Linked DNA regions of Macaca fascicularis. Each later gene encodes a partner of the first gene's protein in a complex. Links are inferred from orthologs where the notes say so. Each region holds a gene or a part of one and is shown on either strand. Other genes may lie near its edges.

Evidence for each region. The genes of interacting proteins can lie anywhere in the genome.
Region 2: HERPUD1 (region 1) and OS9 share a complex: the UniProt entries of both Homo sapiens proteins name them as parts of the HRD1 complex. The link is inferred for Macaca fascicularis from reciprocal best matches to the Homo sapiens genes HERPUD1 and OS9.
Region 3: HERPUD1 (region 1) and UBE2J1 share a complex: the UniProt entries of both Homo sapiens proteins name them as parts of the HRD1 complex. The link is inferred for Macaca fascicularis from reciprocal best matches to the Homo sapiens genes HERPUD1 and UBE2J1.

The regions. Positions count from the first base shown.
Region 1 is NC_088394.1:53,039,753-53,043,313, forward strand, and holds part of HERPUD1 (homocysteine-responsive endoplasmic reticulum-resident ubiquitin-like domain member 1 protein), read left to right. Parts: intron 1-724; coding exon 725-802; intron 803-890; coding exon 891-965; intron 966-2,191; coding exon 2,192-2,322; intron 2,323-3,561. UniProt on the Homo sapiens protein: Component of the endoplasmic reticulum quality control (ERQC) system also called ER-associated degradation (ERAD) involved in ubiquitin-dependent degradation of misfolded endoplasmic reticulum proteins.
Region 2 is NC_088385.1:64,510,589-64,514,663, reverse strand, and holds the start of OS9 (protein OS-9), read right to left. Parts: upstream 2,856-4,075; 5' UTR 2,839-2,855; coding exon 2,677-2,838; intron 2,251-2,676; coding exon 2,074-2,250; intron 898-2,073; coding exon 834-897; intron 713-833; coding exon 636-712; intron 406-635; coding exon 307-405; intron 1-306. UniProt on the Homo sapiens protein: Lectin component of the HRD1 complex, which functions in endoplasmic reticulum (ER) quality control and ER-associated degradation (ERAD).
Region 3 is NC_088378.1:86,036,728-86,040,941, reverse strand, and holds the start of UBE2J1 (ubiquitin-conjugating enzyme E2 J1), read right to left. Parts: upstream 2,856-4,214; 5' UTR 2,558-2,855; coding exon 2,527-2,557; intron 1-2,526. UniProt on the Homo sapiens protein: Catalyzes the covalent attachment of ubiquitin to other proteins. Functions in the selective degradation of misfolded membrane proteins from the endoplasmic reticulum (ERAD) and is essential for cells to recover from ER stress.

The DNA.
Region 1 (3,561 bases):
TAGGATAGCTTCACATTATTTTGGAGCACTGCTAGGTGGATTTGGTTAAGGCTGGCCTTGGGAGTACTCTGAGTTTTCTCTGAAACCGAACTCGATTTGGTTGTAGGTGCCCTGTTTGCTGTTTGTTGCTTTTAGTAACAGGAATCAGTTTACCTGGGAGTTAAGAAGTACATTGCCATAGGTTTGGACTGGAGATAATTTGCCTTTTTTTTTTTTTTTTTTTTTTTTTGAGATAGGGTCTCACTCTGTTGCCCAGGCCGGAGTGCAGTGGCGTGATCTTGGCTCACAGCAACCTCTGTCTCCCGGGTTCAAGTGATTCCCCTGCCTCAGCCTCCCGAGTAGCTTGGGTTACAGTCACAAGCCACCACACCCAGCTAATTTTGCATTTTTAGTAGAGATGGGGTTTCACCATGTTGGCCAGGCTGGTCTTGAACTCCTGACCTCAGGTGATCCACCCGCCTTGGCCTCCCACAGTGCTTGAATTATAGGCATGAGCCACTGTGCCCAGCCGATAATTCGCCATTCTGTGTTTATTTGCATGTTAGAGACCAGTTAAAGACACTTTCTAAACAGAAGTTTTGTATGTGGGGTTTTTGAGCAGGTATTTTCCCGTGATGCTGGGGGGAAACACACATAATCAAATTACTTGTATAAAACAGTTTCTTCTGTGTTTAGGAACTTTTGGGGGTGAAATGCTGACCTGTGTTTTTCTTTCCATGATCAGTGTCCAGAGGACCAGAGGTTAATTTATTCCGGGAAGCTGCTGTTGGATCACCAATGTCTCAGGGACTTGCTTCCAAAGGTACCTCACTTACACATTAACCTCTGAATGTTTTTAAGCACTCACCAGGTTAGGTTTAGGTCCTTAAGTGCCTTCTTATTACTTTTAGCAGGAAAAACGGCATGTTTTGCATCTGGTGTGCAATGTGAAGAGTCCTTCAAAAATGCCAGAAGTCAGTGCCAAGGTGTGTCTCCTTCTACATGATGATAACAATTTGTATCATTCAGACTTTCAGGGGAGTAATAAAAGAAGTTGGATAAAACTTTTATTGAGAGACTGTATGGTGTTATTACCAAGTAATATTTTGTTTCTTTCCTAGGAATTAGAAACTGTATTATCAACACAAGTGATAGGTTCATAGTAGCAGATTGTTCCATTACTGCTGTAGTGGAAAAGTGGAGTTACATATTGCACTATCTTCTGGGATATGATTTGATCTATGGTTACTGTGTATCGAGATTACTGAACTAACACTGATTGGATTTTTATTGAATTTAGCACACAGCAAGTTTTTTCAAAGGAGCCATTAATTTTTATAAAGAGTACAAAAGTGAATATATTTCCTCTGGAAATTTTCATTATGATTAGTTGGATAGGAAAAGATCAGAGTCTTTATCAAGTGATCTTTAAAGAATTTTTTTTTTTTTTAAATATGGTCTTGCTATGTGGCCCAGGCTTTTCTCAACCTCCTGAGGCAAGCGATCCTCCTACCTCAGCCTCCTGAGTAGCTGGGACTACAGGCATGTGCGACTGGACCTGGCTCTAAAGACTTCTATGTGACAGACAAAAACATTTATTTTTCATTTCACAATGTTTATTCACATATATGGTGTTAGTATTCTGGTGTAGTGATGCACTCTAAATTTGCATTATATTTCCTAGAACATCTGAACAGAGCATAGGAAATTCCCTATTTTGCCATTATCAATTCTAACAAAAATCTTAAAAGCACTTTACCATTTCATTTCCCTGCATTGTAATTTTTAAAAAATGATCAAAAACAGTATCATACCAAGGCTTACTTGTATGAGAATACTATTTTAGAAAGTTTGGGCCGGGTTCTATTTATAAATCTTGTTGGTCAGATTTCTGCAATGAGTAAGTTTAGCACCATTATCAAGAAGCTTTCTCACCAATGACAACTTCATTGGAAGATTTTAATGAAATTTTAATGAAAGTGTAGCATCGTTACTGTAGGGAAAAAAATGAATATGTTAGCATCTGTGTATTGAAAATTGTGTGTAATAAATGTCAGACTTTTTTACATAATGTTGCTTCTATTTAATTTTGTCACGTTCAGAGGTGGGGGGTAGGAGACATTAAGCCCTTGACAGCAAAATAATTCCTTTCGCTTGATTTCAGACAGTTGCGTCAGCTCCCTTGTTCTGTGTTCATGTTACACTTATTTAGGTGGCTGAATCCACAGAGCAGCCCGCTGGTTCTAATCGGGGACAGTATCCTGAGGATTCCTCAAGTGATGGTTTAAGGCAAAGGGAAGTTCTTCGGAACCTTTCTTCCCCTGAATGGGAGAACATCTCAAGGTGAGTGTTATAATAAAGATCTCGGCTTATGCAACGTGAATGTGCCTCATTTGCATCCATTGAAGAGTAAGGTGTGTTTACACGTATATAATCAGAACTTTTAAACCTACAGAATTTTGCTTTACAAATAGCTTCGCTTTAAAGATGTCTTATATATTTAACTTTTCTTAATACACAGCCTTTTAGTATATACAAATTTAAAAAGTAGGCAATGCATATATTGAAAAAAAAATGTAAGTGTTTTATCCTTCCATTGTGCTGACCACTTGGTTGCCGTCATGCTAGAAAATTGCTGCTGCAGGAGAAAAGCTGTTGTAAGCATTGTGCAGCTGCTTTGCTGAGTGGCTTTGTGCTTTATTGTAACAATGGGTGACAACAAGGGAGAGACTGTTTAAGAAGTATTATTCCAGAGACTTGGGGGTACTAGGAAAGTTGGCCATTTTTTATAACCATTAAAGCTTTTCTTTAGAGCAAAAGTCAAAACTAAATGCTGTGTTCTTTGGATTTTTATAGCTCTTGGAATACCTTGTTTTTTGGGAAAAATTCATTAACTACAAGTTGAAATTCTATAACTCTCCAATTCCCCATCCCCCTTTTCCTAGTAGTTTTTATATGCAATATTTTATAAAGCCAGGTGTTTCAGGAGTGAGTTTTTCTTTTTTTTTTTTTCCCTTAATGGAACTTTCAAATATAAACAACAGTGGGGACTAGATAATTAATCCCCACACCATCATCCAGGCCTGCCTAATAAATAACAATCAGAGTTTTACCATACCTCATCTATTACCTTTTCCCCTTTTTTTTTAAAGTATTTAAAAGTAATCCCCAGTTATGTTATTTCATCCCTATATACTTGAGTATATAACTATGAAAACCTTTTAGTTATCCTGTATATCTAGAATGCCATTATCAGATCTAACAAAAATCTTAAAAGCACTCTATCATTTCATTTCCATGCACTGTAATTTTCTTAAATGATCAAAAACAGTATCATACCAAGGCTTACTTGTATTGGAATACTATTTTAGAAATACTCTGTGTATGGAATTTAGTTAAAAGATTGTCAGCATATAAATTGGATAATTATTGGATAGAAAATTATTGGTTAGAAAAACTTAAAACTTCTTCCCTTATTCTGATTCAACTATTTCTAACTTGAGAATTGAGGCTCGTATTTGACTTTCTGAATCTCACCATAGTTAAACTTGATTTCCTTTAACAAATACTTATTGAACAGCC
Region 2 (4,075 bases), on another chromosome or scaffold:
AGCAATTCTCCTGTCTCAGCCTCCTGAGTAGCTGGGACTACAGGCACCCGCTACTACACCCAGCTAATTTTTGTATTTTTAGAAGAGATGGGGTTTCACCATATTGGTCAGGCTGGTCTTGAACTCCTGACCTCAGGCGATCTGCCCCCCTCGGCCTCCCAAAGTGCTGGTGGCATGAGCCACCATGCCCTGCTGGAAATATGTTTTAAATCTCGGAGGGAGCCCCCTGACTATAAGATGCAATTCTCTTCCCTTAGAATCTGAACTGTCCCTATGGGAGTGTCAACTTCCTCTCTCAAGACTCACCCGAACCTCGGCCTCTCGGGGCCTCCCATTGAGGTCGCACTTGGACCCATTGCCATAGGTCTGGCTGTGGTAGCGTTTCAGACGATGCTGCTTGGAGGCCTGGAGAAGACATGAGGCAGGAGTGGGGGAGATGAGAAAGACAGCAAAGAGGAAGGATGGCACTGCATCCTCACAGAGACAAAAGAATGGCCTGTGCCCCCCAGGAAGCTTTGTCCTAATGGCCACCAAGCCCCAAGAAACAGATCAGCTAATCTTGACCCTCCCCTTCTTGTCAGGGCTTTCAGCCGGTGGCCAGAACCCCTTCTCCCCGAATCCCACACTCTTGCCACCTTGGCTGTTTCATCATCCCAGTCGAAGGCCGATTGGTAGTAGCCAAGATAGAGGACTTCACCTTTGATCTCTGAATCTGCAAGAGAAGCCACAGAGAAGCACTGTTACCCCTAAGAAGAGTAGGAGGGAACTGGGGAGGCAGGTTACCTTCAACGATACGATGCTGAGGGCTTAAGGAAAACATAGGAGGCAGTTACCTTCCATGTGGTATTGCTGGATGTGGCGTCCATAACAGAATTCATATGTCCACCAGTCCTTTGTCTGACAATTAAAAATTAAACAATCAGGGGGATGGGGTGCAGACGTCTTTTATTGGAATCAGAGTCTCCTGGCTCCAAGACACATAGCCTCTCATCTACTTGCACACTCAATTCTCTTCCCTTCACTTCCACTCTCAATTCTCCAGACTTTCAGTAAGGAGGGAGGGCTGCTTTCCTTCTGTGACGTAGAGAGTTATCTCTAAAGTCTATTTTCCACTTGTGGTCTTTCCATTCCTCCCTCTTAAAAGATTTTTTAAATCCTCATTTCCCCTCCATAAAGATAAGAAATTATGGTATCCCTGAAGCAATCATATTAGGGAAACATAGAAGAACCCAAAATTAAATATTAATTGAACTTCTTGGACATTCCTTGCACTGTTCTGGCCACTGGGAATACAACTATGAACAAGATAAATTATTTGACCTCATGGAGTTTACATTCTAATGCTGGGATTCAGACCGAAAATAAACAAACTGATTCAGTTAATATGATTTCAGATCATGAAAAGTGCTACGACGAAAATAAAATTGGATACTGGAGTGGAGTGATAGGGCAGGGGGTGACTTTAGCAGGTAGGCTTAAGAAAGTACTCCTCCTACCCGACGCAGACCCTCAGTCTTGCGTTAGCCCTTTTCTGTGATCTTCTTTTTTGTTTTTTGTTTTTTGGTTTTTTTTGAGACAGAGTTTCACTCTGTCGCCCAGGCTGGAGTGCAGTGGCCCGATCTCAGCTCACTGCAAGCTCCGCCTCCCGGGTTCACGCCATTCTCCTGCCTCAGCCTCCCGAGTAGCTGGGATTACAGGCGCCCGCCACCACGCCCAGCTAATTTTTTTTTTTTTTTGTATTTTTAGTAGAGACGGGGTTTCACCGTGGTCTCGATCTCCTGACCTCGTGATCCGCCCGCCTTGGCTTCCCAAAGTGCTGGGATTACAGGCGTGAGCCACCGCACCCGGCCTTTTCTGAGATCTTCTATCCTAACCTGCTCCTACATTCAGCGAAGTGTCATCAATGGTTACAGGATTCTTTGCTTCTTTCTTGTCCGTGTAATCTGTCTACTCCTCCAATGGTCTTCTTAACCACTACAGGTCCCCTAGATCCTGCCTCATTCACTGGACTACAGTTCTCGGATGAACTGCTAGTTCCCAAGCCCTCATTCTATCTAACCCAGTCCCTTTCACCTTCAGCAAGCAGGGAGCATCTCTCATTGGGCTCAACAACTCAGGGATCCCAGGCCCTTGGTAAGCAGGTGTTTCCTCCTCCCTTTCACGCTGGAAGTGAATAGCTCCAGCTGGCAGGCGACACTCATAGCGCTGTTTGTACTTAGAGGAGACAATCACCACGTCCGAAGATTGGCTCTGGGAAAGAAGGGAGGGTCGGGGGGCAAGGAAGCAAAGAAAGGCTGGGATCAGGGAAAACAACGAAATCCCTCTTCAGACCCTGGGGAAGAGCTCAGTCGAAGACAGAATAAGCCACGAGCTCTCCAGCTGTATTTAGTGGGTGAGGCGAGAGGGCGCTCCCATTTCTCCACGGGAACGGAGTCCCGGTGTTTCGATAGTAAACTGAGACCTGAACGTTGACAGCGGGAAGCCCCACCTCTCCCAATTCCTGGCCCCTAGAGAATGGGTCTCAGTCTGCGATCCCCAGGGATCACCGTAAAAGCAATACCTACTCTTCCCGATTTCCCGTAGGCTCCAGCCCCAGACTCGGGAGCTGCCCTTCTTCCTCTATCTCTTACTCGCTTCCTCTTCTGCCCGGACCCTCGCCCCTTATACGCCTCTCACCTGCCCTCCCATGACAGGCAACGGCAGGATCTCGATCCCATAACGCATCTCACTCAGCTCCTCCAGGTTCAGGCTCCCAACACCGCCAGTCAGACTTGCGGGTAACAGGAGTCCCAGAAGCAGCAGTCCCAACACACTGGACAGCACCGTTTCCGCCGCCATCTTTCGTTCCCCCGCTTATCCAGAGAATCTGTTTCCGCCCTAAGCCTGGCAGCGGCCTCAACACGCCCATCGGCGCCACATGATTTTATTGGCTATATGTTCTATCCCTCCCACGTACCCTATTCCTATTTGTAAACGTAGCTTCAAGGCCCCGGGGAGGTGGATCACGACAATTAGAAAAATCAATTGCGGTCTGTGATTGGTCAGAGACCAGCCAATCATCGACAAGATCAAACCCCTCTCGCCTACCCCAATTTCAGAGGCGTGGTCTATGCGCTTGGCCCTTTTATGTTTGCCCTCTGTCTTTGCCTAAATGTCATGCGCATCTCATTGCTTTTTCAGATGTTTGTACCTGCCCACCGCTGGGCGGAGTATTGAGGCAGATAGGTAACTTGCGCAGTGCCCGTGAAAGTTATTCAATGCTTGTTGCAAAACAAATAATTATTATACAGACGCTTACCTCTTTTCATATATACATATTGCTTCGGGGCAATAAGAAAATTTGTGTCAAAATCTTCCTATACGATCCTGCAGTTGACCTCCAAAAAAACTATCCTAGAGAAATAATGCGGGCAGTCAGACGCGGTGGCACGCACCTGTGGTATCAGCTACTCCGGAAGCTGAGGCAGGAGGATCTCCCGAGCCCAGGAGTTCAAGTGCAGCCTGCACAACACAGCGAAACCGGGTCTCGAATAAGTGAGTACATACATACATACATACATACATACATACATACATACAGGGGCTTCCAGTTAAAGGTGGAATTATGTATTACTCTCCAGGCCGTAAGAAAGGGAAAGGAGACAACAACAGCAACATTTTGGAAGCTGGAAATCGAACCGAAGAATGGTAACTGGTTTAGCAAACTTGAGAATATTGATTACGAAACAAAGGTAAACAAGAGCCTGATTATACCTTTGGAAAATCCTCTCTGGGGAATCTCACCAGCTCCAAAGAAAAATCCCAAAGATACCCTCATCAGAATTCTCTTAATGATGTAGATAATTATAATGAATTCCACATGTAAGACTTTGGCCTAGGTGCCCCAGCCCTCATTTCACTTTCCAATCAGCGTTTTAGTGTTCTTACTCTTCAAAATAAATAGCCAGAGATCATTAGACGTTTAAGGAAGGACTTTAATATACAAGTAAGAAACAAAAACAAACAAGAAGGAAAAAGCAAATGAGAGGAAACATAAATTGCAACGGAGTGGGGAAAAAAAAAAACCACCAAAAAT
Region 3 (4,214 bases), on another chromosome or scaffold:
GGACTCTACTTCCTTGGCCAGAGCGGACCCAAACATGGGTCAAGTAAATTGATCCATAGACAACTACTGACAGGTTAGTCAGAGGCTTTGAGGTGATCCTACACAACAGCTCTACCCACAATCACAAGTCCATTCCAAAAAACACCATAAAGGAAAAAGTTTCCCCACCTATGAAATGAACAAATTTACTATATCCACATGCTACTACACTGGCCCTTAACCAACTATCTGTATTGTCTTCACTTCATCTTTCCACTCATACATCAAAGACAATCCCACATCAGATAAAGAGTAAAAGATTATGTCTCTCCCGTTGTGTGGTTGTTTTTTGTTTGTCTGGTTGGTTGGTGTTTTACGTGTGTGTGCACCCTGCCGTACGCAGGAAATTGGAGTTTTCAGTTGCTCCCCTTCACACAGGCATTACTCTAAAAATAACACAGGACTGAGAATAAAGCAAAGGAAGGAAGTATTTTCACGATGCCTCCCAGCATTTTCAGTAAGTCCCATATCTCACCTAATTCAACTTCTCCATGAACTCCAAATAATTCACACATTAACAAAAATAGAGTTTTAAGAAGCACTGTTTTTTTTTTTAGAACCGCAACACTATCTTTGAGGAAATGAAACCAAAAAAAGGAAGCAATTTATGACACAGTTAGAAGCATGTCAACCAAAGCTCAACCAGCTGACAATAGTTGACATACTTTGGAAATGTACAAAATTCTGAAGAATTTTAAAAACATCATCATAGTATTAAGTCTAACCTATCAAAATTGAGCGATGTTTTCTGACAACAATCTCTTGGGTTCCACCAGTTCTCCATTCCAAACTGCACTACTACTCACATGTGCATTATTCTCTGGACCTTTCACTGAGCACCTCTGCTGTCCTAAGGAACCATGTGACCAGGAAGCCATCATACATTTTTACCCAAACAGTTCTAGTTAAATCTACCACAATGTAAAGAATTCAATCATTTTACCATCTACCTTAAAAATTAAGCTTTTCTTTCCCTCTTTCTCTTTGGTCTTTTCTTCCTCCCTCCCCACCCCGGGGTTCTTTTTGTTTTTTGTTTTTGTTTTTGTTTTTTTAGATGGAGTCTCGCTCTGTTGCCCACACTGGAGTGCAGTGGCGCGATATTGGCTCACTGCAACCTCAGCCTCCACGGGTCAAGCCATCCTCCTGCCTCAGCCTCCCGAGTGGCTGGAACTACAGAAGTGCGCCAACACCATGCCCAGCTAATTTTTGTGTTTTTAGTAGAGACGGGCTTTCGCCATGTTGGCCAGGCTGCTCTCCACCTCCTGGGCTCAGGCCTCCCAAAGTGCTGGGATTACAGGCATGTGCCACCGTGCCAGGTCTTCATCAGATTTTTTTGAGGAGTCAGTGGCCCCTAAAATATTATGACCAATTCTACACACTTGGTCACCTAAGGACATTTCTGAGCTTGACAGCACTCAGGTTAACAAAGCTCCCTCCAATCAATATCCTCAGGCTTTTCTGGGGTTTTTGCATATTCTGAAACCATACAAAAAACCCAAAGATTCACAATGTCAACTCTTTCCATAAGGATGCTAGTCTTGCTAATTCCTACTGAGAAACAGCTTTTTTTGGAAGGAAATGTTAAGCAACGCAAAAGTTAGTGAAATCACTAATACCCTAGAGTTTATCATGCAGAGTTAACTGTAGAGTTTCTTCCCCCTGACAAAATGTATCAAGGTACAGATAGAAAAAATACCATTTAGAGGATCCAATGATTTATTTCAAGCCTGTTTCATTAAGCTGAGAAAGCTAGTTGCTTATCTTTATAATGCACCAGAAAGTAAAGGTTAGTATTGCTGGGACTGCTTGTGTAAATAAAGCAGGATCATTAAATGCAGGAAAGGAATCCTACGACTGAAGACAGATATGTTTCATATTAGCCAGTCTGGCAAAAATCAAGGTTAGCTCTCAAGAACAGGGCTCAACTAGGTGTTTTTTTTTGTTGTTGTTTTGTTTTTGTTTTGTTTTGCTTTAGCTCTACAGTTAACTGGTTTAGTTACAGAACACTTCCTTTATGTCTGTAATTGCATTCGCCCAAGTGCTGCAAATAGGATGTTTAAACGACTAACTCCTCAAATGTGAGTAAATCAGCCGGCTAATAGTCCACTGACAGCGACGGGGAGGGAATTAACGACGGTGTTCAGGATGCAGGTACAGCGAGGGGGTTGCTGACTATCGCCCACCCACATCACCTTTACACCTGTTCTCAGGGATGAGTTTCTGACCCAGCTCTACGGGACCGGGCGAAGACGAGAAAAGGGGGAGGCTGGGTGCTGCGGACGCTGGCCGGCCGGGGGATTGGCAGCGGGCGTCCACCCGGCCACCCCGCCCTGCGGCCTGCACTTCCCGGGCAGGCGGCGGTCTCGCGTAGAGCGCGAAACCAGGAGCTGAGCCGCGAGTGGCGCCAGACGTGAGGGGACCGCGGCGACCGCCCCGGGGTCCAGGGTCACTCCGCACTCCTAGCCCAGGGGCCCCAGCCCTGCTCACCCGGACTCTTCAGGTTGTAGCGGGTCTCCATGGCGGGTCGCTGGCCTGGCTCCGGCCTCCCGGGCAGCTGCCACCTCCTCTCCACGCGGCCGCTGCCCAGGTCTCAGCGCGGCTCGGGCGGACGGGGCCTGGCCGAGGAGCCTTGGCAAATGCCGCCCAGTCCAGCCCGGACTGCGGGCGGGTGGCAAGGCTGAGTGCTGGCGAGGCGCTGGCTTCGCGATGGCGCCGCCTCCTCCGCTGCGCCCCCGCCTCCCTGAGTGCCTGGCAGGCACCGGCGCCGGCCGGGGCGTCGCTGAACCCGGCGCCCGGGCTGGAGGTCAGCCTCCTCCGGTAGCCGCAGGCCCAGCCCCGTCGCGGCCGCCCGGCTTGCGTCACCCGCCCTCGTCCGGGATTTGTGAAGTTGCCCTGACGTGGCAGTAGCTTCGTGGCGGTCGGTCCCTACCCAGCCGCCGCCGGCCCCGCGAAGCCGGCTTGGGGAGCTGCAGGAGCGAGCGGCGTCCTAGTCCTCTCGTTCCGGCCCCCGGAAACCGGCCTTCCGCCGGACCCTCTGGGGTCCGTCCCCAGGCGCTGGCGGGTTTCACCGAGGAACCGCGCGGCGCGAAGCGGCTCCGGCCCTACCCGCTGTAGGCGAAGTCTGGGATCCCCGGGCCCTGGAGAGCTCAGAGAGGGCGCCGGGCTCCGGCTGCAAAGCTGTCCGCATCCGGCTGCCCGCGCGCGGTCCCGCGGGGTCTGGGAAGGGCTTTGTTTTTAGATCCAGTCCCTGTTGCGGGGGGCGGGAGTTAAGTGAGGAGGGGGAAAGCCAGTGATAAGGGAATGGAATAGGAATTTTTTTTTTTTTTTTTTTGAGACGGTGTCACCGCTCTGTCGCCCAGGCTGGGGTGCAGTGGCGCGATCTTGGCTCACTGCAGCCTCTACCTCCTGGGCCCAGGCGATCCTCCCACCTCAGCCTCCAGCGTGGCTGGGACCGCAGGTGTGTGCCATCACGCCCGGTTAATTTTTTGTATTTTTGATAGAGACAGGGTTTCGTCGTGTTGGCCCGGCTGGTCTCGAACTCCTGGACTCAAGTGATCCGCCCGCCTCGGCCTCCCAAAGTGCTGGGATTACAGGCGTGAGTCACGGCTCTGGCTGGAGTTGGATATTCATAATAGTTTTTTTTCTTGGGTAGTGTATTAGGTGCAAGACGCTGTTTTAGGCATTGCAGGAGTTTTGGGTTTTTTGGTTTGTTTAGATGTAAAAGCTGTCAAAAAAAAAAAAAAAAGGAATTACATTGAATTTGAGGGAAAGCATACAAATATGAAAGGTTAAACTTCAAAGGACACACTTCCTGCTTCATTGTCCAATGTGTGGGATCGAGAGAGAGGACTGAGTTCAGAAGTCTCAAGGAGTAGGAACCTACCTTAGGAAAGGAAAGGAGGGAGGGATTGGGAAGGTGGGGCGGATAGAAAGGGTTAATCAGGTTGGGCAAGTTTTATTCTGTTATATAAAGATATAAAACTCTTAAATTTGATTTGTTTTCTATTGTTAATATAAATCTGAATTTCTTGGTGAAATTGGGAGGAAAAAAGTGAAGGGTATCTAAAATTAGATGGTATCTTTTAAACCATTCCCTGAGGTTGTTTTCTGTATAGTAAACTGATAATCTGATTGGCTGAGACATGCAAACAAAACCAAACTCCAATGCTGTTTCA